Linked DNA regions of Tribolium castaneum. The protein of the gene in region 4 purifies or fractionates together with the protein of the main gene of each other region. This does not show direct contact. Links are inferred from orthologs where the notes say so. Each region holds a gene or a part of one and is shown on either strand. Other genes may lie near its edges.

Region 1 (4,937 bases), on a different chromosome or scaffold from region 4:
TAAAAGAAAACAATTTTTCTTCCACCTTGCAAGGTTAATTAATAAGGAAAACGAATTTATTTATTTTTTAAAATTTTCAGGTTTTATGTAAACAATACTTCGAGTGGGTACAATCGCACGCCGGCCACTTGCCACCAGGGGCGGTCCAAGGGGGGCACACCAGCGAAGGGGAGCCCCTTTACATAGGCCGCGCCTACCACGAAGGCTCCCAAACAATTGGCAAAGTACTTAACTCACCCTTATAAATTTTAACCCTTGATCATTTATTTTCCAGATACACCCCAGCCATGGTGTCTGCTACATAGCATACGGCGGCGAAGAAATCGCTTGTCCCGAATACGAAACTTTAGTCCTTAGAATGTAAATAAAGTCATTCTTGTACCCCACTATTGTTCATCTCCGCATCTTCCTCCTCCTCTTCCTCCCCCTCCATTTCATACAAGCGCACCTTCCTCCGATTTTCCGCCAATACGATACCGACACGTCGACTCCCCGACACTGCAAACTCCGCCCCCACCATCCCCTCCACACACTTAAACAGCTTCGGAACCAAACACGAACCGTTCAAACTAACCACGTTAACCGCACCACTAAAAACACGATCTGTCTCCCCCCCATCCACAAACTTGTCCAAAACGCCACCTATCGGTATCTGACTTAAAACTGTAGCTTTAGAAACGGTGTTTTCTTGCAATAAAACCGACAATACTGCACTCGAATATAGTTTAATATCGATCACGTGATAATTATCCTCGGAATTGTCACGGGGGAAGTACAGACGCGCACACTTTATGAAACAATTGCCATCGTCTAGATACACCTGCAGGCCTAGAACGGTCTCAGGCGGCTGCAAGTAACAAAAAAGAATCGATTCTTTGTTTAAGTTGACTTGGGACGTCCGTAACGAATCGCCGCAAAATTGGAAACAATTGAAGTCATTCAAATGACTGAACTGCCTACTAATTTGCTCTCTAGGTGTCGCGAAAATCGCATCGACGCTTTGCTTCAAATGCTTGTACTGTTGTATCAGCGACATCTCTTTGAAGTGCCTCAAAATGGAACTATTTTTTTCGATGCATTGGTTCTGGGCCAAAAAATCAGTCCATTCGTTCCCGGACATGTCTGGTTGGATCGTCAAATTGCCATCGCTTAAATATTGCCCCAACCGCTCCATAATGAACCCCTTTTGTTTGTTATTCCGACTGATGTGGTCAAAGTTTTGCAAAAATTCGGTGATGTAAGCCAGGTCTTGCTGAGTCATTTTGGGGATTTCGTTCGGTATTGGCTCATCCAGAACGTGCATTATTGCCGTGTAGAGCCAGCGGAAGAAGGCCTTGTAATTGATGATGGAGTGATTGATGATTTGCTGCATTTCGCTGCCTTTGATCAAGAAGGCGCCGTTCGAGGAAATGGCGCCGGTAATGGCGGCCGCGTCCAAACCCAAAACCTACAATCACCCAATCACCATTTTTTACACTAATAACTTCTTTTCAATTGAAACGCGTCCTAAACGTGGGAGCGAAAAGCCGAAAAAGGCGTTTTAAAGCCGTCAGGGGTTTCCCCGAATATTTTGGACTTTTTTCACGTAGTATTTGCTCGATTTTAAACTAAATATTTATTTATTTTGCCAGATAGTATTTTGTTCGTTTAAAAAATCAGACACTATATTCGTTTCAAAGCAAACCTGATTGATATTTGTTTGTTTCACTCAATGTAGCTTGTTGCGTAAAATTTCGTCTAAAATACGCCTGTTTTTTAACTATTTCTCAGACTTTGAAATTATCGAACTAAATGTGATTTTTCCATTTTTGTGCATTTTTGATGGTTTTTCTTGCCAAGTTCACACAAAATTAAATTTTAATTTTTTTGTTGAGTTGGCAGCCACCACACACTTGTACCAACCTTATAGCGGTGTTCCAGTCTTGCCATCCCCCTCATTTCGGCCAAGTGATAGGTAACATTCTGCCCAAACTTCATCACATACTTCAGCATCAACTTCTGAATGTTGGAATAACTCATCTCAATCGTCTGCCCGAACTTCTCCAACCCTTTCTTCGTTAAATCGTGTATGAGAAAGGTCTTCATCTCATCCGAGCAAATTCCAAACGTCAGCAAATCCAAAAAATCAGCCGTGACGCCCCCTTCTGGCACCTTGCTCGCATATTTCGACAACTTGTTGTCCATCTCCAGCAAAATGCTCTCCCAGGACTCGGTGATGGTGGTAATAGTGTTGGAGAGATAGGTCACCAGTGAGGTCAATTTTATGTGTTTGAGGGCCAAAGCGAACAGTTCGTTTGTGTGCGTTTTGAAAATTTCCGAATCGAAACAAATCAATTTAACGTTGTTTTCGTTGTCTCGCACTGTGAAAAACATGCGGTTCAGGTCCTCGTTCAAATGCATGTTCTGGATGGAGCAAAGACAGTTGAGAGTTTGCTTCAAGTCAAGGGAAGCGCACGGGAAACAACCGAAAACTCGCACGTGCACGGTGCCCTCACTTGTCCCAATCAGGAGCAAATTAAAGTCGGTTTGCTCTTGCAAAATGTTGGTTTTCTGACCATCGTCGTTGTTGGGGGAATCGAACTGTTGTAGCACCGGTTCGGGCAAAAAATTACCCGATAAGTCCTACAACTGGGAAATTAAACGAGCACTAACATTCGGGTTTTTTTACAATGTGTTTCATGTACTGATTCTGTTTACTGTCTTCGTCAACTGAAGGCAGTTTCCCTTTAACAGTCCGGTCTTGCAACCAATTGAGACATGAAACTTCGCCCTTGATGTCAATAGTGTGCAACACCGACTTATTCTCGACCTTCACAAGCAGTATTTGGCCTGAAATTGCACAAAACAATGGATTTAAATTATTTCCAATACTTTTTTTACAATATTTTACCAGAACTGTACGCAATTGCTATGATTTTGCCGTCAGGCCTCCAGGCAATACTTGTGACCTTTAACCCATCCTTGGGGGCACTGAGACTCCACGCTTTGGTCCAAGTGAGTCGATGAAGAGCCACCTCTCCTACAAAGACACCCAAAAATGCCGGTTACTGCAAATGGGGGTTACCTTTGATATTGGCAAGAGCGACAAGGTCCATACGGTCGCTCCACACCATTTGAACAATCTCACTGGCCACATTGCGCTCTTCGAGCTGTTTAATCGCCTGAACTGTGCTCATTTTCCAACAATTAGTAACAAAAAACAATTTTCAAATTGTAAGGTTACGTTTAATTCTGTCATGGGTACCAACTGTGCGTCTGGACCCGATTTGCTTTATTTAGCCAAATGTGCACAAACAGGCCTAGTCAGGCGTTACGATTCACTTTAGGGTTGTAACCACAATAGATAAACCAACATTTTTGTTATTGTTGGCTTTAAAATGCATAATTTTGTACTTTTTTAAAAGGTAGAGGGTTGGTAACGCTGACCGTTTGTTGAAATTGGTGTCCCAGGTGTCTTGATTACTTCGTTCCAAGTTGGAATTAAACAATCACCATGGATAATTTAGAAGCAAATATCATGGACAAGTCAATGCGTTCGGTCTTTGGTACAAATTATTTAAATTTTAAGTGATAATTATAACCCCATTGCTTCCAGTGGGCAACATCCCCTACGAAGCCACCGAAGAGAAGCTCAAAGACATTTTCGGCGAAGTAGGCCAGGTCCTGTCATTCAAGTACGTTGCCCTGCCCCCTGAAGCCCCCTAACGCCTGAATTTTAGGTTGGTTTTCGACCGCGAGACAGGCAAGCCCAAAGGCTACGGCTTCTGCGAGTACCGCGACCAGGAGACGGCGCTCAGCGCCATGCGCAACCTCAACGGGTACGAGATCGGGGGGCGCAACCTCCGGGTCGACAACGCCTGTACCGAGAAATCGCGCATGGAGATGCAAAACTTGCTGAACCAGCCCCCGGTCGAGAACCCCTACGGCGAGCCGATTCAGGCCGAGAAGGCCCCCGAGGCCATCAGCAAAGCCGTGGCCTCGTTGCCCCCCGAGCAGATGTTCGAGTTGATGAAGCAGATGAAGCTCTGCATTCAGAACAACCCCACTGAGGCCAGGCAGATGCTGCTGCAGAACCCCCAGTTGGCGTACGCTCTGCTGCAGGCGCAGGTGGTTATGAGGATTATTGACCCGCATACGGCGGCTGTGAGTTGGGGGTTTGGGGGCGTATTTATATTTTATTGGGGGGTTTTAGACAATGTTGCATCCGCAAAATCCCGTTCCTTCGTCTTTGACGCCCAAGGAAAAGACTAATCCAGGCCCCATTCCGATTAACAGTAATTATGTCTCGAATCCCACGCCTGTGCAGCCCCCAAGACAGGACTTTCAGCCGGTGCCAGCCCCCGCGATTCATAATAATTCCAATCCGGTCTTCACAGGTGATTTTTTTTATCACAATTGATTATAAATAATAATAATGTTTGCGTTATTGCAGGTCAAGACGTTGATCTAAGATCACTGGACCCCCGAGGGGCTGATCCTCGCCTCAGCCGCCTGGGCGACCAGGACATGCGCACTTTGCCCGGACAACTCCCCAACCCCCTTCCGCCGCCACTTGTCGAAAAGTAAGTAAAATAATTCAACCTTGAGCCCTTTTACTCAAATTTAAACAGTTTCACTAAGCAGGATCAGAAATTGGAAAGGTAAATAACCATTTACAATTGATTAGAAATACAATTTACTGATACTTTTTCTTAGCTTTAATAGGGACCCACGTGGAGGTCCGGCCAACTTCCCATCTGATCCGAGACAACAACAGCGAGCTGACCCAAGACAGAAAAATATGCGTATGTGTGAAGTACGTAATTGAATTGGTTGTTGAAAGTCTGATTTTAGCCCCTCAGCAAAACGCGATGCCTCCGCAGCCGGTCAGAGCCCCGCAGGGGCCCCCCAGTACCCCCCAAGTTCGCCAAGCTGCCAATGTTGCTTCAAGTATAGGT
Region 2 (5,208 bases), on a different chromosome or scaffold from region 4:
CGGAAACGACCATCAGGTATAAGGCCACTCAATCAATTGTTAAAAGTATTAATAATTTCGTTTGGTAGACTGATATGGTGATCAATGCCGGGGCTTTAGATTGTATGATCCGTTTATTGCAACACAGTAGACTGAACATTGTCAAAGAAGCTGCCTGGACAGTTTCAAACATTACTGCCGGAAATAGTGAGCAAATCCAAAAAGTCCTAGATGCCGGGATTTTGCCTTATCTTCTTCACGTCCTACAAACCGTATTGTTGCCACGCTTTGTCCGATTTTTCCTAAAACGTGACTTTTAGGGCGACTTTAAATCGCAAAAAGAGGCAGCTTGGGCTGTTACTAATTTCACAAGTGGCGGGAATTCCGCCCAATTGGCGCAACTTGTGGAAATGGGGGCGTTGAAACCCATGTGTAATCTCCTGAATTCCAAAGATAGCAAGACTATTATCGTGGTGTTGGAGGGATTGAATAACATTTTATCGGTGAAAAAAAATTTGTGTTGGAATTTTGTCTAATTGTCGATTTTAGGCCGCTGCCAAGTTAAATCAAGCCGAGAAAGTGGCCATAATGATTGAGGAGTGTGGCGGTTTGGACGGTATTGAGGCCTTGCAAAGTCACGACAATGAGAAAGTCTACGAACGGGCTTTGCACATTATCGAGAATTATTTCGCCGATGTGAGTTATTTTGTGGGTAAATTGTTTTGTAATTTGAGGTTTCAGGGTGAGGAGGGAGTCACTGTTACTGTAGCAAATGGGGAGATTCAGTTCGCTACTCCTAATATGGCCGATCAACAACAATCACCCTTTTCCTTCTAAGTTTCAACCGATGCGTTTAGTTCATTCCTTATTGTGTTAGTGACACGTTTTGTATTTTTATAGTCTGTATTACGATATGTTCCCAGTTTTCGAAATAAAAATTATGTTAAACCTTGAAATTAGTTTTATTTCACATTTATTTATAAAAAATACAGCTTCTTTCACATCCTTAGCCTCATAATTTTCTCTAAGGTACTAACGGAATATTTGTCTTGAAGTTTAAGCATCACTTCTAATGGATCACCTTCTGCACTTTCCCTAAATGGTATATCGTAAAATATCACATACATGGCTAGCCTATTCAAGGTTTCTTTATCAAAAGCCAAGTCGGCGCCCCTTGTATACGCTTCTAAGGCGGGGGCCAAGCCAGGTTCCCAATCTTCTAAAACTTCTAACATTTGTTGCTTTATGGCCAACATTACTTCCGGTTGAATTAAATTACAAGCTAAGGGAGTTGATATTATTTGTGCAAACAGCAACTTGACTTGCCAAAAGTTCAAGGCGTTTGGTAACAATCTCATATCACGAACGACCTGAACATAAAATCATTATTTAATAAATACATGAGTCTTGACATTACCTTTAACAGAAAACTAATAACCGGTATGACAACAAGTTTGTCTTTCACGACAGCGTCGTACGTCGCTTTAGTCAGCATTCGTGTTAATTTCAATTCTTGCGGACTTAGTTTATCAGTTGAGAGAAAATGATCACAGAAATACTTAATAGCTTGGTCGTGTGTGAACGAAAGGATGGACGACGATGAAGGATTCCACGGTACAGTCTCAGACTGAGTTAACGTTTTGGCCAACTGGCTGTGATAACCCAATTTATCGGCAATGTAGCTCAAACAGCCCGCCCTTTGCTTGACTTCAACGAACCCATTAGTCGAGAGTATGGTTCTAAAAACCAAACATGACTGATTTTTCACGAAGAAATTAATTTACATGAGAGAATTCCAATTTTGGCTCCTCTTGAAAACCACAGGCCAATAGCGCTCGTCCTCAATCGCCACTTCTTTCAACATACTGAGGTCGGGGATAATCCCGGGTGCTTTTACGAAACTTTTCGTACCGTCCAATTTAACGACACTCAAAGAGGCGTAGCAACATTTACCAGAATGAACATCTTTTGGTATTATTAGACGCGGCTCAACCGCCAGTACGTACAAATGTCGGAAGGCTTGAAGGTGATACCTGGAGCAATATTACATATTTTTCCTACTTTTACACAACCGTTTCGTTACCTGTTATCGTTACTATGAGTTGGAAATTTCGGGTAAAAAGCACATATTAAGGCCGCAATGTTCCCCGGAGAGTTAGATAACGTGTATCTCCCACCCCCCAAAAACAACAAACCTAAGGCCATATGCATTGCCAGGTGTGAACCGTACGTGACCACAGAACTGCTAGCTACACCAACTCGGCGGCGTAAAAGTCGCACAAAACGCATGATTTCAAGATTACCAGTCCCCGCCATCACCTTTAACAATTTTTTTTTCAAATAAAAACCACAATTAATCGTCACAGTACCATCGCGCTCGATAATAGCAGGACATTGAGACAGGTTTCAACGGTCGGTTTCCCGGCTAATTCAGCTATGGATTTGATCGTCAGGTTGGTAAACATGCGGCAGAAGTGGAGCAAAGTCTGGAAGGCGTTTTCGTCCGCAGAACCCGCGTACTTGAGACCCAAGGCGAAGCAAGCTCCTGTCACAATGTTACAATAAGCTTGGCTAAAATCACACGGTTATTTCCTTAAAATCGTACAAATCACTAACTTCATAGCTTCAAAATCAATATCCAAATTCGGTGATGGTTTTAGCATACAGTAGGGCCTGATGGTACCCGGCACTTGACCCTCGACCCATTCCTTGCTCGGCACAATATCATCCCAAAGAATCAAAGCTGTGGAACAAAAAATCAAAAATTTTCAACGTGATTTTGAGGGACAACCTCGCGCCAATATCCGAAACATTAAAAAGTCAGGACGCACAAAATCAAGCAAATATTGTGTTTCAGGCGGCGCCATCCAGTCAGCTACGGCCTTATTGCCAGTTCCTAGATACATAAGGCCTAGAGCTATCGTGGCCCCCGGTGCTGTCACGTCTAAATTAATGGAAGAACCTTCCCGGATTTGAAACGACGGTACTTTGTATTTGTCTTTCTGTGCGCCTGTAAATTATTACCAGTTAAAATGTTTGATTTCATGTGGTCATGTACCGGTTAAGGGACGTCGGTTACCACCGACCATGTAATAGTGCAAGCGGTCGGAAATATTCAAGTCTGACAAGCCCAGAGAGCAACTGCCTTGCTTCAAAGTTACTAGGCCTAGCGATAATCCGGCTGCAAGTGAGTATGATTCCCGGTCGACGCTGTTTTCCATCTCAGGGCCTGGCGGACGCCCGATTTCGGATAACAGGACTTCGATAATGTGGCGGTGCGAAGTGCCTTGGTAGACTAACCCAATGCCTTGAAATAACACAAAGTAATAATAATTTTAAATGCTTTTTACCGACCTAGCAATGCAGCAACTTGCACATTTTGGTGCACATCAAGCTCCATCGATGTCGGGGGCAGCATAGCTTCCACATGTATACTCAAAGTCTTGGTCATTCCCAAATCCGAAGTGCCCCTAAAAGCCGCAGACATCCCAAGCAAAATCCCAATACTCGTCATTTCGTGCAACTTAATCAAATAGTCATACGTGTTCAACGCATCTAAATTTTTCAAATGGCCATTCAGGCCCAAGGCCATTAAAAACCCGGCATGTTCCATCTGCTGTTCCATCGAACCCTTCGGTTTGTTGAACACAATCCACGTATTGTCCACATTGTGCGCATCGGGATTTATCCTCAAACCGTTCGCCACACCGTTGTGAAACAACGGCCACAAATTCATATTCGAGGGCGTATCGATGTGGTTTAGCTCAACTGTCGTGCCCCGCGGGGGCGCCTTCCCGGTCAGGCACAGTGGCGGTGTTTGCAGCGGTTCGGTCACAACCGGTGCCGAGGTTCTCAAAGTGAACATCCCTCGGCCTGTTGACAGGGCCATGGTTCTGGTACAGATCGCAAACAAGTGTTTTTCTTCCTCTTCGATAAAATCATGATCGGACACGTCCGGTCGTTGCACAAGGACAATCGGGACGGGTTTGGAGCTTTGCAGCATTTTCCGGGCTTCGGCCACTCGCATATCGTCCGGAAAACGCAGCTTGGTTAAGGGGTTTTCAATGTCGTCCATTCCGTCTTGTTGCTCACTTTCGACCGGTTTGGACGTAAGGACAATGCCTGGCAGTTCGTGGGTTGTGTACATTCCTATTTTCTCTAAAGTCGTTTCGGGTTTTTCTTTGTGGAATTTGTGCGCTTGAACAGCGAGGTCATCGCGCCATAGTAAGTAATAAGCGTCTGAAGGTAAGTCCGAGGGAGGGTTATCTCGGCATTTCCACAATGTGCTGTATATTAGGAGGTAAATCGCTGGAGGTAAAGTGTCCAAATCTCGAACCGTCATTTTTTTCGATGTCATTAAAAGAAGTGTTTGTTCCGGTGGCGAAAGCTCAGATGGTTCTTCTTGAAGAACTGGGCTACCGTTAGATGTGATGTTGGGCTCTATGAGCTTAAGCAAATTGGCCGGCTTGTGGCCAAGTTCTTTAAAGATGATGCCGCAAATCTATTAAAAACAACTCGAATATTTTACTTGAAAAACTATTCGTTTATCTCTCACTTTCACTTCTTTAAAAACTAAATATAAATAAAAAAAACGCAACAGACGAGACTTACCTGCACGATGTCCTTTGACTTATTGTTGACATGATTTACAAACGGATAGGGCGCCACTTCCCCTTTTTGCATCAAATGGCACAAAAACTGCATAATATTGGCCGGCGTTTCGCCAATAAACGGATACTCATGTACTTGTTTTAACTCATTTGGTGCGATATATCCGTTCGAATTTAACGAGAAACAATCGGGAAAATCTTTCCAGTAGTGCACCACATACTCAACCATCCCTAAATCGCTGGCTATCTTATTTAAAAAAATCGCCAACAGTTTCAAGTCATCCGATCGCAACACATTCAACTTCAAATCTTCATACAACAAGTGTAAACAATACAAAATCAAGCGAATAAACGGGAAAAGGAGCGAATTAACATTAATTTGAAGCGTCCTAGTGTGGCTTTTGGGGGGATTTGAGTTGCATTTGAGGAGCAACGTATGTTTGAGACACTTGTCTAGTTTCGTTGCATAGTCCGAATTGCTTAAATACAACCAATCCTCGTCCGTCCCGGCACTTGAGTGTTTCTGTCGCTTGGGGTTACTGCAAGGTGTTACGGGGCAGTCCTCAGTGTTACCAAAATCTTGCTCGTAACCCAAAAATTCTAAACAAGAAAATAAAAC
Region 3 (4,408 bases), on a different chromosome or scaffold from region 4:
CCAAAATATTTAAAATTTTATTTCTGAATTACAATTAACGTTTCCTTAAATACAGTTTACTATATCCCATTTCAGTTCATAGTAGAATTGCAACAGTGCATTTGAATTTTTTGGTGTGAAAAATAAAGCACAAATTGAGAGATTCTGTATAAGAAAAGAATTCTGTGTTAAAATAAATCCCAGTGACACGTTTTGATCTAAGAAAACCCACCAGAAACTCTAAATTTTGCTCCATTTGACTCCAAAAAAAATGTAAATGCGTTGTTGTAAAATTGTACTGTGAACGAAAATGGGATATAATCTGAATTATAACTGCCTTTTTCAGAAATATACTTGACTCTTTCTGAAACATAGTTGAAAAAGGTGTATAGAAAGCTGAATAAAATTTTAATTCTTTGTTAATAGTTAGTGCACTAGAAAACGTAAGCTGTATTTTGGATGTCCGAATAGGCGATCTCCAAAACTAAGAGGTTTAGAGAAAAACGAGTGAAACATTCCGTTTTTTGAGAGAATAATTTTGGTCAAAACCGCATCCCGCTATCGTCTTTTGTTGTCGACTTATAAAAAGAAGTGGACATTTTAGCGAAATCTTAAAAAATCATATCTTCCTTATTATAAAAGATACACATTTGAAACAAAAACATTATACAGGCATTTTTTTTCAGAGAATTTAATAATGTTATCAGCGATTTTTTTAATCATTCGTTCAGCTGTAATAACATAGTTGTATTTTTTTAAATGAGAATCATAGTTGGCTATGACATTTTCGAAAAGCTAATTTTTTTCTGAACTCAAAACAATATAAATATAGTTTGATATTTTTATATATTTTTGATAAAAATATATTTAAAATATTTGAAAGTAGTCGGCCATGGAAAAATTATTTCACATAAAAGGTATGAATAATCTAGAAATTTTGTGAACGTTTATTAAAGTAAAAAATGTGATTATAAAAATAAGCTGTGTTAAAGTTATTTTCATTTAAACAAATATACGAGCGTCGCGGATTTTAATTACATAAGAAATGTGCAGAAAATTTCAAACAATGTATCACTACCATTTGATGCCACTTTTTTATGATTTAGTAAAGTGCAAAGGAGGTGACGTTAATAATGTTGTGTATTTTTTTTACCGCAGATGGAATTTGATTTTGGTGTTTGGATTGATATTTTTTTGTAAAATAAAATTTTATTGATAAGCAATCATACAATTAATAAGATTTTTCTTCTTCCGACATTTCATGTTTACAATAGGAAAATAGAATGACAACGTAAGCTTGCCATTTTAAATATAAAAACAAATAATTTTTATTAATTGCAAAAATTTGATCTAATAAAAATTTATTGTGCTGTTTTTGAATTAATTAGTGTTTAAAAAAATCATTAAATTATAAATACTTGTTGGGTAATACAATTTTCATAGTTTTAATTAAAAATCCAAAATTTTTTCATGGCCTACTATAAAGAAAAAGCGAAATGTTTTGTTTTTTCTTAAATATTTAAAATTAATGTATTACACAAATAGACATATCAGATCAGAAAAAAATTAGCTTTTCGAAAATATCATAAAAACTTTATGTTATTACAGTTAAACGAATAGTTGAAAAAAATTGCTGATAACATTATTAGATTCTCTGAAAAAAAATGTCTTTGTTTTAAATGTGTATCTTTTATATTAAGGAAGATATGATTTTTTTTTATAAACATAAGTGTTTAAAAGTCGAAAACAAAAAAAGATAGCGAAATTATTTTCTCAAAAAACTGACTCGAAAATATGTCACTGGTTTTTCTCTATACCTCTTAGGAGATCCCGTATTCGAACATCCAACATGCAGCACCCTGTACAACATACAGCGGGTAATTTTTAACTGGAATAAAATTCATAACTTTGATTTAGGCGATTTTGGTGAAATTCCCGAACAGATCAATTTTTATTTTTTCTTGCCCACTATTTGATGCATATGGTTTTTGTTATCTGTTGTCAGAAATGCACAGCCGCCTCTAACCTTTTTTTTCAAATGTAACGGTATGTCAACTGACACCTCGTATGAAAGCTCTTCTCGCAAGCATTACAACGCACTATTTGTTTTTTGAATTTTTTCAAAGCCTACGTGATAAAAAAAATAAGAACCAATTTTTATAAGTTGAACATTATTTGATTTGATTGTTCAAAATGGGCACCGTTCCTCTCTTGGGAAATAACATGACGATAGTAGCATGAATTTCTAACATTTCTAGTGTGATTTTCCTAATTTTAATTTATAAAAATTGATTTTCATTTTTTATCGCGCAGGCCTTGAAAATATTCAGAAAACAAAGAGTGGGTTGTATTCCTTGCAAAGTGCTCTTTCACATGAGGTGACACTTGACATAACCGTTACATTTGAAAAAAAAAGTGTTAGAGGTGGCTGGGCATTTTTGAAAACAGATAAACAAAAACCGCACCAAATGATGTGCAAAGAAAATCAAAAATCGACCTGTGTCAGGATTTTTTTACAAAAATCGCTTGTATCCAAGTTACAAATTTTATTTTAGTCAATATTTCCACACTACTTTAATTTTTTATCACTTGGGCATTGACAATATTTAGAAAGCAAATAATGCGTTGTACTGCTTTCGAAGTGCTCTTTTACATGAGGTGTCACACGACATACCGTTACATTTGAGAAAAAAAGTTGGAGGTGGCTGTGAGGTTTTGACAGCAGATAAATAAAAACCATATCGACTAAATGATGGGCAAGAAAAAACAAAAAGCACCTGTTTCTGAAATTTTTACAAAAATTGCCTATATCCTAGTTATGAATTTTATTTCAGTTAAAAATTCCACACTGTATAAACTGTGGTAAATTAACGACAATTTTTATATATGTTTTTTACAAAACAACAATAATTACATACTGTTTATTTCAGAATGTCATTAGAAATAATAATAAAAAAATTACCTAAATAATATTTGTATTGAAGTATTATTTAATTGTACACTCTTATTTCTGAGATTATTTATGTAACCAACTAATAGGTTATATCTTATATCAAATTCACCGTTAATTAAAATTGTGCACTTTTTAGTAGGAAATTTAATTCGCTTCAACGTTTTTGATGAACTTTCTTTGTTTTTTTGTTTTCTTAATCCTCTTCTCAGCATTTTGAAAAATATGGGACAAGTCAAAATTTTTTTAATTTTTAATAAGTATTATTATTTATTAATTATTACGCTCAATGTTACTGCGTTTTTTCCAGGCAGTTTAACGTTCGATGTGCCCTAATTTTTACTCTACCGCACTAATTTTTTAGATACAGAAGATCATTTATTTAGTATTTAGTCTTCGTAACCTTCTATTATTTATAAACACAATCATTTTTTCACAATGTTGTAACAGTTATCGTTACTTAATTTTAGCATAGCTTCAATAATGTTTTTTTTACAGATATGCTGAGGCCGAGGCAGCTTTGTTACACTCCAATAAGAGCAGCAATGACTCCGAGAATTTCGACGACATCACATCAGAATACGGTGATCAAGCACCATTCGCTTTATCTTTATTAGGTAACATAGCTGCCAAAACCGAAAGAAAACCTCGTGCCATAGATGCATGGAAACGAGCCTTAAAACTAAATCCATTTCAATGGTCAAGCTTCGAAAATTTATGCAAAATAGGAGATAAACCAAACCCCCAAAATATATTCCAAATAACAGGTGTTGAAAATTTATCAATGTGCCAGGGAAGTAATATTAACAATATCGAAAGTGTTGTTATAACAAACAACAATCCAAATCAAGATAATCAAGAGACATACGCCACAACTCCTCAACAGATTCTTGTGAATTTTAGCCCCAATGTCGTAACTTCGAATTCGAAATTGTGTACACCTGATGATAATCCAATTGTTACACAAAATGTGTGGCTGTCGGGCTTCGCCCCCTTCACGTCGAGGACCAAGTTGCTGAGATTTCGGACGGATTCCTCCAGTAATGTAAGTTATTTTTGATGGATTTTTGCACAAAATTTTTTATCAAATTCTAAATTTGTGAGTGTTTTCTTCTCACTGAGTAAATCGCATGATTTGGAATATTTGTTTTTATTTACAAAATGAAAAAACTCGAGAAATTTTGCCAAGCGAAGATATGGAAAATTAGATATGGAATGAACTCGTATTTTTTCTGCCTAGGTAGAATGTTCTCGGTTGCTCTGGAGATGTCTTTCTTGTGTTTGAAAAAAATGTCCAAGTCTACTCTCAGTCTTGAATTATACTTCATACCTTTCTCTTTACCATATGATATAAAAAAATTGTCATTAATGTTTTTCGAAGAAGACTTAGTTTGATTTACTTTAAATAGAAAAAATAGCTGTTTTCGTAAATTGAATAAAAAAACACAAAAATAGTGTATTATTAATTATTATACGAGT
Region 4 (3,570 bases):
TCTGGTACATTGGGGGACAAAAGGACTCTCTATTGGATAAAAAATTATAAAATTAGGTATGTAATCAATTTTGCCTGCTCTCTGTATTAACCAATTCTTTAATAACTGTTTACTAATAACTCTCGAAATTTAATCGACTGTTAGATTTGTTGTGAGTTTCAGATGTCTCTAACTCGCATGTCCCTCTCAAATAGCAATACGTAGACGTAAACCTTAACACAAACCTCTCAACTACCGGGGAAAAACCGACTCTTGTACACGTTCCCTTTTATGTTTCAGGCAAAAAAGCGACCGATTCGGTAAGGTAGTGTTGACTTTGCACGTTTTCGCACTAACACTGTGTAGTTTAGAGGGTGTGTGGTTTCGAAACTCCAGTTGCTAATCACTCAGTAATAATTGTTTGATTTGTTCCAGTATTGTGAGGGAGCGGAAAAGAGCGACAAGGCTGGATAACCCTATACCAAAGAAAATTGCATTACAGAGGATGTAGATACTCGTTTAATTTATTTGATTTGGAGAAAAACGCACAATGTAGTAGTCGATGTGTAATAATTTTTTTATCATGTTAGCAACAATGTTATGTAAATCTCAGTGTTGTTAAAGATACTCGCATATTGTGATAACGATAAATGGCGCTATTAGTTGAGTGAAAACTTAGAAGTTTAGGTCGAAATCTCGAACCATTTGTCGTGACTGTAGTTAAGTTTTATATGCTTGAAAAATAAAAGAAATGTTACTTCTTTTATAAACTTTATTAATTATAAATATATTTAAATAAACGCAGAAAACGTTATCTTTGAGTGAGTTTGCCCCAAGTCCTAGAATACTTCAATGAAGGTTGTTACCTTCAAGTCAATAAAAAAACACAAATGTAAAATCATAATCCTTTTTTTCGATCATTGGTGTTGGAATAAAAATCTTCTGTGTAAAAAAATGTAAATTTATTAAACACACTGAACGCAAAAATCGCTTCCACTTTACACTTAAACCTAGTCCTCATTCTTATAGGTAACGACAGTATCCATCTTATGTAAATTGGTTGAAAAGGACCGCATTTTAACCGACTGTGCATTTTTTACATGGGCTGCTTGGGCCTCAGTCCACTCTCCCGGCAAATCAACATCACTTTTGGTATAAATTTGAATATCAAAGCTACATAAACAGTCCAATAAAGGCAAATAGGCGACCGACGACGCGATTTGTTTCAACACGTCCCTAATCTCGTTTTTAATAGTTTTTAACGGTTTTTCCGACACGGCCCCCCCAGGTTCATCCGCATTCCCCTCATACTCAACATAAAAATCCCAACGTTCCATAACCTCCCGCGTTTTCACGTTCGTTATGATCATTGCAACCCTCGTAACGCACCTTTGTAGTAACCACTCTAAAAATAATACAAAACTAGTCAAAAAAAACTCGCCGGTAACCCAAACCTTTTAATTGCGATAAAGTCGTCGAGAGAAACTCCTTGATCTTGTTGTCGGTAGACATGAGAATCGTCAGACCGTAGTTTTCCACACTTTGAAAGTTCTCGGGTGGGTACAGCCCCCGTTGGAACAAAATCGAGTTGATTCCGAAATCTGCAAGACAGCCATAACCTCATTTTATACAATTGGGGGCAAAATTACTCAAGTAATCGCAAACGATTTCGGCGGAGCCTTTCAGAGTGATCGCTGATTTGTTTTTTGGAGCCACTGCGGCCATTGCGGGGCTGTCTTAACACACACAGATAATTTAGCGGCAAAAAAAGTAACGGTAAAAAGTGAATTCAAACTTTCAAAACTGTCAAACGTCAAGTGGCAGGTTTGCCAATCTCAGCGGATGTAAACAATTTCGAGAACCTTTCCAGAATTTCTACCGGGAAGAGAAATTCGCTGTGTTCCAGAATTTTCCAGGATAACTGTTATGGAAAATTACGCAATGATTTACTAATTTATCGCCAAAAGAACGTTGCTAGATAGGAACCCCAATAAATGACTAAAATTGAGAATGAGACGACAAAAAAATATAAGAATGAATCATCTTTTGCACCCTTTTGACTATTTTTCTAAAAGAATATCTTTGTTTTTTATACTGTTAGGGCGAAAATAATCATTATTATGCATTCTCAATCGAAAATAGATGGAAATCATCCACGAATTTGTTGGAAAAACTAATTTTTGTTAAACCCACGTGTTTTTTTCATAAAACGTTGCTTAACCGATTTATGAGGGAAACAAGGGCAGTAAGACATTTTATAAATTAATTTCCATCTAAATTCAATCAGATTTAGCCCCAAAATTTGCCATTAAACAAAAAGTTTAAAAAATTGGATAATATCTGTTGAATTCACCGTTTTCATCTTTTTTCGTCACGAATTATAACCATTCGCACCCAATTTTTATCAAATCAAATGATATGAATTCGTAGAATTGTAAGGGATGCTTGGGAGGTCCGAATGGTTAGTGTGTGTGAGGGCTTTTAGGGCGAGTGTGAAAGATGGGAAACATGTGTTAAAGATGAATGCCGAATGTCTGGATTTTTAGAAAATAAGTTAGTCTGTAACTGGCTTTTGTAGAGTAAAGTAAAATTAAAAGGTCCTGTTGAGAAGATCGTAGTTTATTTACCCTATAATCCTGACGTAATAAATTATAAACTATAACAATTTATCAGAAGTGGGATCGTGAAAAAAAAAATTATTCGTGGAGACTTAGTTTGGTTTTATTAGTGTTAGTTTGTTAGTGGTCAAAGAAATAAAGGAAAATGACGGACGATAAGAATAAAGAAAGCCCGAAGGAAATCATCCCTCAATCAGGACAGGAATTTTTGAACTTAGAGACAATTTTACAATTAGTGAAGGCAGCGGTGAGCGAAGCGTTACAGGCTCAGACAGGGACAGTGGCGGCGGCGGCGGCGGCGGCGGTTGACCAGGAGGTAGCAGGGTCGCCAGACATACAGGAGTTGTCCAGAGATAAGGAGGCGTCGGGGACGCTGGGGTCGTCTGGAAACGGGGTGGTGTCGGAGACAAGTGGCCTGCAGAACAGTCTTCCGTTGGGCCGGGTGGAGGCGCCTGGGGCGTCGAGAAACATGGGGTATTGCGTAATGCCCGATTTAACGCAAAGTTTACGCGTATTCAATGGAAAAGGAGGTGCATCAGACGCATTACAGTGGTTACAGGACATCAAAACCATGGCGGGACGTCAATTTTGGGGTGATGCAATTTTGTTGGAGGTGGCGCGTCAACACCTCGTAGATAGCGCGTTGTTGTGGTATCGATATCACCAGGATACCTTAACAACGTGGGCAGCGTTTGAGATGCGATTCCGCGAAAATTATACGGATCGAAGAACGCTCGCCGAAAGGTTTAGAGAGATGTCGGAGAGAAAACAAAGAACCAGTGAAAGCGCGGAAGATTATTTTTACGCAAAAATGGCGATGTGTCGCGATTTAAAATTGTCGTTCGCGGAAACGAAAGAAATGCTGCTCACGGGGTTGAAGTCCAGGGAAGTTGCGAGATCTCTGCTGACTGTTCGACACGACGATGAGTGGCAGCTTCTTCGTGATTTGAGGAACAATGAACGGTTGGATTTA
Region 5 (4,773 bases), on a different chromosome or scaffold from region 4:
CTTGTCCTCGATAGAGTAATGCTTGGCTTGCAAATGCGCTAACCGCGAATTCGACGGCCTCTTATTCTGCTCCTTGTCCAGGTACCCCTTGCTCATTGCAAGCTTCAAAGCTGCCCCAAGCCCTGTACTGACATCAGGCTCTTCGTCGAGGATTTGCACCTCTTGTGGGGCAATTTGCGGGCTTTCGTGCGGCTCGTTTGGATCGACTGAATTCCAGCCGGTTTTCTCCTCCTGCTCGACTTCGTCCATTTCGGGCTCGTCTTTCAGATCACGCTCGAAATCGATCAAATCTTCGGTTTCCTCGCGGTTGCCGGACTTGCCGTACGTTGGGATGTCGCCCAAAGTGCGGCAAAACTCCGCCGTGGCGTTCAGAACAATACTCCCCTCCAGGTTTTCCTCACTTTCGCTTTTAACCGGCGTTGATTTAACAATCTCAGCAACGAGGTTCTCCTTCTGTTTGATTTTGCGTGTCTTGTGCAGCGCTTTTTCCAAGAGATCGTCCTTCTCGTCCTCGAGTTTGACGTCCGTGGGGTATTCCATTTCGGGGATGTCGTCAATGGTCAAGTCTTCGAGCTCTTTCTTTGGGCGTCTTGAGCCGACTTCCTCGATGCCTTTGTTGTTAATTTGTTGCTCCAATTCATCAGCGGTCAGTTTTCCCTTAGTTCGGATTTTGCGGACTTTCTTTTTGGGTTTTTTAAATTTGGACAGTTCCTCGTCGTTGTAATATTCCGATGCGAGTTTTAAATCTTTTGTTTCAATCGATTCGATTCTTTTTTTGGCGAGTTTTTCCTTAATTGATTGCACGATTGCTTGTTTACGTTCAACCGCATTGTCGTAACCGATTTTGAAGCTTTCGCGTTTTTCGCCGTCGATTGTTTCGTCGTATTGGGCCAAAAGCGACTTTTCTTTGGGGTTGCCAAACTCGTCGTACTCCTGGTCTTCGTAGGCGTTATACAAAATCTTCTTCTTCTTGTTTATAACGTTCTGAAATTTGATGATAAATAATCATTCACTGTAAATATTTGTAACAAATTACCTTTTTGTATCTCTCGTCCTCAACCATGTTGACATTGACCAGGACATCCTCCTTGTCTTCATCCAAGACGCCCTTGTCTTGCAGCGTCAAGATAACATCCCTTTCCTCAGCAAAGCTATCAACATCATGCTCCACCCTCAGCCCTTTCAAATTCCTCTCAGTGTATCTCTGCTTCCTCTTCTCCTTCTTCTCATTCTCCACAAACTCGCTGACCCCAAACTGCTCATCCAACTCCTCCAACATTTTCGCCCTTTTCTCAGCCTCCTTCTTGGCCAATTCAATCTTGCGGTTCTTATCAACCCACGACTCCACATTATCATCACTATCACTGTCCCCCAGCAGCTTCACCTTGCCCAGCTTATTCTCCAGCTGGCGCTTTTCCCGAATCGTTGTCAATTTGCCCTTCAGCTTCTCCCTCTCGTGCTTATCCGCCCAATTCTCCGCCGGCTTGTGGTAAAACTCGCCCCAATCGTCCTTCTTCTTCCCGTCATCCCGTTTCTTCTCGGACTTGTCCCCCGAACTCACATCGAGCGGCTTCAGGCCGAGCTTCGCCCGCAGTTTGTTCGTTTCCTCAATCGAGAGACTCTCAGCGTTTTGCCCGGAGCCCGAAGGCTCATCGTCCGGAATCACCTCGATCACGTCGGATCCTGGCAAAAAATCATTCAAACGGGAAAGTTGGACGCGGGGTGCTTACCGTCGCTGTCGTAGTCGTGCTTCGCCCTCGCGTCGCGCTTCTTGTCCCTGTGGTGCCTCTTGTGGCGGTGGCGCTTCTCCTTCGGGGGCTCATGCTCGTCGGTGTAGCCGGGGCTGTGGTGGCGCCGCTTACGAGACTCTTTCTCTTTTTCTTTGTATTTTTTGCTACTAGAACCCATCCTTTTTACAAAATTTGAAGGAAATACCTACCGTACACAACGTCAATGCAACGTTTTGACGTGCGCGAAATCCGGATTGGTGGTTTCGCCGTTACGGGATTTGCCGAGTTCAAAAACCTAACCCCACATTTGCCAAGCCAAGATGACCAACTTATTGAAGCAATTGCAGGCGATGTACGAGCTTGCCCTGCACTCGAACATCTCCCGAGTGGTTTGTAGCCCCCTTTTGGGAGTCTGAGCCCCCAACTGTGCTTTTAGTGCGACTTGGCCCTGTCGGCGTCCGAGCAAAAGCCCGACTTTTTGCCCCCTTTGCAGAAGTTCCAGGTGATGTTGCTGTACGCCGATTCGCTGTACGAGACGCAACAGTTCGCCCAAAGCGAGAGTTTGTACCGCCAGGCCTTACAGCTCCGCAAACACCTCTTAAAAACCAAGTCAATGTCTAATAAAATCACGGAGAGTCAGCCCGAACTGGCCAGCGATGTGGAGATCAGGTTCAAGATACACAAGTGCTGCATGGCCCTGAAGCAGGTGAATGGGGCCATCGAGATGCTGCAGTCGATTCAGGCCCGCCTGCGGACCCCCAAAGTCAACATGGCGCTCGGCAACTTGTACAGGGAGGCCGGGATGGAGCGCTCGGCCATAACGTGCTACAAGGAGGTGCTCCGGGAGTGCCCGCTGGCCCTCGAAGCCGTGGAGAACTTGCTCAAGCTGGGGGTGAAAGGGGTCGAAGTCAACGCACTAATGGTGGAGGCAACTTCCGAACTAAACTGGCTAAACCTCTGGCTCAAAGCACAAGCCCAGTTGTACTCGCGCGACTTCGAAAACGCCGCCCAAACGTACAAAAGCATGGACAGCCACGGTCTACTCAAAGACAACACGTCGCTGCTGGTCAACCTGGGCTACTGCTACCACTACATGTGTGAGGACGAGACGGCGATTGCAGTCCTCCAGCGGGCGATTAAACTCGACCAGAACCTAGTCTTTGGTCGCGATTTACTGGCCACGCTTTTGGCGAGCTCGGGGACTTCCGAACACGTTGAGTATTTGGAGGATTTGATCCCGACCTCGGATATGTCGCTGTGGACGAGTGAGCATTGGGTGGTCATTGGCAATCTGATGTTTTCGACGAGACGGCACGAAAAAGCCGTTTATTTCGCACAGCAGGCGCTTTGTGCCTCGCCCAAAAACATAGAGGCGTTGCTGCTGAAAGCCAAGACGCTGGTGGAGCTCAGCAAGTACCAGGATGCCGCCCAGCATTGCACGGAAGCGATCCAGATCTGTCCGTTTCGATACGACTTGCACCAGTGTTTGGTCGAGTGCTATGTGAAGATGAATCGGCTGAGGGAGGCCGACTCCATGGCGCAAAATGCGTGCAAACAGCTCAATTTCAGCCCACATTCGGTTACGGTAAGTGAAAAAATTGTAATACGGTAAAGAGAGAATTGGCTGTTAGACTGTTTTTTTGGGACGAATTATTTTAAAAACGTATCACTTTTTTTTCGTTTGCCTTCATCTGGCAAACTAATGCGCTATCTGAGAGGAATATCGGGATGGGACGTTGTCTTTGCTTTAGGTGTCGAAACGGATTAGGCGCCATTAAGTTGTTTTCTTATTTATTCCTCAAATAACAACAATTACAAAAAATAGTTTCACTGCAGTTGCACGCCTCCGTTTTACTCAAAGACCCGATGACGTCCGGGAAAACGGTGCGAAACCTCCTCGAGAAGGCCGTGAGCCAAGACAAGACGTTTTCCACTAAGGCCGTCTGTATGCTCGTGGAGTTGCTCGAGCAGGAGCAGCAGTACGACCAAGCTCGGCAGCTCCTGCTGAAGCACGTGGAACAGCACCCCACCTCGCGCATCCACCAGATGCTGGGCGACTGCTACGTCAATTTGAACAAGGACAGCGAGGCTTTCCACCACTACAACGTGGCCCTGCGGCTCGACCCGTCCAACCAGAGGGCGACCGAGGGCCTGAGTTGCATCGGACGCAACGTGTCTTTAAGCAAAAGGGAGAGCTACTACACCTGCGTGGGGGAGACGTCGTACACGTCGCCAGGGACGAGCGCCTCCGAGGACGATGTTTTTGTCCAGAACGATACCGAACCCTGGCCTACCAATATGAGTTTCTAGGTGATAACAATTTTTTTTACAATAAAAATATTTAAAGTCACGCGACTTTGTTTTCAACAATCACAGGGTTACATTTCCCTAATTATTTACGTGTTAAAATACAAAGTGTTAGTACTATCACGGGGAAAAGGTTTCATTTCTTTTAGAATCTAGGATACATTTTTGACCCAAACAAACGTCCCTAAGCTAAACACAAGCGGCCGCGGCCAAGCCAAACAATAAGCGCTTGTTCGTTTATAAATTTGTTACAATTAAGACAATTATTGCTAAAATAATCTCAATTTCCCAAAATTCTCTTCGCCTCTCGTTCTATTTTGTTACTTTTTGCATTTTATTAAATACGTAGGTTTCAACCTACGGCACAAACTCGCTCAAAATCACTCAGTTGAGTGGAAATCTCACAAAGGAGCACCGGAAATACTCGAAATCCTCGAGGTTTTTCTTCAACGTGGTGGCACTAAACCTGGAAGTTCTAAAACACAATCAATTTTTTTTATCTCGGGGAAAATATTCACCGTTGCTCGTTGTCAGTAAGCGAAACAAATGCGAATTGGGGGCCCCCAAATCCCCAGTTGACTGCTCAAACTCGTCCCCACCTTCAATCGCAACAAAATGACAAAACTGCTCCCCTCCGCGTTTGTTATATTCTTCGAGGGCGCTGTTCAAAATATCGCTCTCAGACACCTGCGGAAACATTAACATTTTTTTATTACTTGCTATATTATTAAAAAAA

The links.
Region 1: the proteins of mad2 (region 4) and APC4 purify together in Homo sapiens (affinity purification with western blotting; 14 studies listed by BioGRID and IntAct, with this or other methods). This does not show direct contact. The link is inferred for Tribolium castaneum from reciprocal best matches to the Homo sapiens genes MAD2L1 and ANAPC4.
Region 2: the proteins of mad2 (region 4) and shtd purify together in Homo sapiens (affinity purification with mass spectrometry; 3 studies listed by BioGRID and IntAct, with this or other methods). This does not show direct contact. The link is inferred for Tribolium castaneum from reciprocal best matches to the Homo sapiens genes MAD2L1 and ANAPC1.
Region 3: the proteins of mad2 (region 4) and Cdc27 purify together in Homo sapiens (affinity purification with western blotting; 29 studies listed by BioGRID and IntAct, with this or other methods). This does not show direct contact. The link is inferred for Tribolium castaneum from reciprocal best matches to the Homo sapiens genes MAD2L1 and CDC27.
Region 5: the proteins of mad2 (region 4) and APC7 purify together in Homo sapiens (affinity purification with mass spectrometry; 3 studies listed by BioGRID and IntAct, with this or other methods). This does not show direct contact. The link is inferred for Tribolium castaneum from reciprocal best matches to the Homo sapiens genes MAD2L1 and ANAPC7.

What each region holds. Positions count from the first base shown.
Region 1 is NC_087400.1:321,615-326,551, reverse strand, and holds APC4 (anaphase-promoting complex subunit 4), read right to left. Parts: upstream 3,283-4,937; 5' UTR 3,177-3,282; coding exon 3,065-3,176; intron 3,020-3,064; coding exon 2,891-3,019; intron 2,830-2,890; coding exon 2,669-2,829; intron 2,623-2,668; coding exon 1,903-2,622; intron 1,448-1,902; coding exon 371-1,447; 3' UTR 365-370; coding exon of another isoform or gene 275-364; 3' UTR 225-274; coding exon of another isoform or gene 81-224; 3' UTR 14-80; downstream 1-13. Other genes in the region: uncharacterized protein LOC659212, read left to right, coding at 81-224, 275-364; CstF64 (cleavage stimulation factor subunit 2 tau variant), read left to right, coding at 3,494-3,545, 3,596-3,674, 3,720-4,143, 4,193-4,376, 4,433-4,562, 4,611-4,640, 4,696-4,784, 4,834-4,937. UniProt on the Homo sapiens protein: Component of the anaphase promoting complex/cyclosome (APC/C), a cell cycle-regulated E3 ubiquitin ligase that controls progression through mitosis and the G1 phase of the cell cycle.
Region 2 is NC_087397.1:4,709,487-4,714,694, forward strand, and holds the end of shtd (anaphase-promoting complex subunit 1), read right to left. Parts: intron 5,190-5,208; coding exon 4,591-5,189; intron 4,481-4,590; coding exon 3,334-4,480; intron 3,287-3,333; coding exon 3,038-3,286; intron 2,990-3,037; coding exon 2,771-2,989; intron 2,723-2,770; coding exon 2,596-2,722; intron 2,551-2,595; coding exon 2,349-2,550; intron 2,299-2,348; coding exon 2,063-2,298; intron 2,013-2,062; coding exon 1,764-2,012; intron 1,719-1,763; coding exon 1,397-1,718; intron 1,350-1,396; coding exon 978-1,349; 3' UTR 923-977; downstream 1-922. Other genes in the region: Pen (importin subunit alpha-5), read left to right, coding at 1-16, 69-251, 300-482, 529-675, 721-816. UniProt on the Homo sapiens protein: Component of the anaphase promoting complex/cyclosome (APC/C), a cell cycle-regulated E3 ubiquitin ligase that controls progression through mitosis and the G1 phase of the cell cycle.
Region 3 is NC_087394.1:14,530,502-14,534,909, reverse strand, and holds part of Cdc27 (cell division cycle protein 27 homolog), read left to right. Parts: intron 1-3,427; coding exon 3,428-3,974; intron 3,975-4,408. UniProt on the Homo sapiens protein: Component of the anaphase promoting complex/cyclosome (APC/C), a cell cycle-regulated E3 ubiquitin ligase that controls progression through mitosis and the G1 phase of the cell cycle.
Region 4 is NC_087398.1:3,482,808-3,486,377, reverse strand, and holds mad2 (mitotic spindle assembly checkpoint protein MAD2A), read right to left. Parts: upstream 1,811-3,570; 5' UTR 1,705-1,810; coding exon 1,629-1,704; intron 1,581-1,628; coding exon 1,434-1,580; intron 1,385-1,433; coding exon 990-1,384; 3' UTR 920-989; downstream 1-919. UniProt on the Homo sapiens protein: Component of the spindle-assembly checkpoint that prevents the onset of anaphase until all chromosomes are properly aligned at the metaphase plate.
Region 5 is NC_087395.1:24,228,100-24,232,872, reverse strand, and holds APC7 (anaphase-promoting complex subunit 7), read left to right. Parts: upstream 1-1,979; 5' UTR 1,980-2,050; coding exon 2,051-2,119; intron 2,120-2,166; coding exon 2,167-3,315; intron 3,316-3,504; exon of another isoform or gene 3,505-3,566; coding exon 3,567-4,040; 3' UTR 4,041-4,080; downstream 4,081-4,773. Other genes in the region: U4/U6.U5 tri-snRNP-associated protein 1, read right to left, coding at 1-984, 1,037-1,683, 1,731-1,908; PR domain zinc finger protein 10, read right to left, coding at 4,484-4,512, 4,556-4,724. UniProt on the Homo sapiens protein: Component of the anaphase promoting complex/cyclosome (APC/C), a cell cycle-regulated E3 ubiquitin ligase that controls progression through mitosis and the G1 phase of the cell cycle.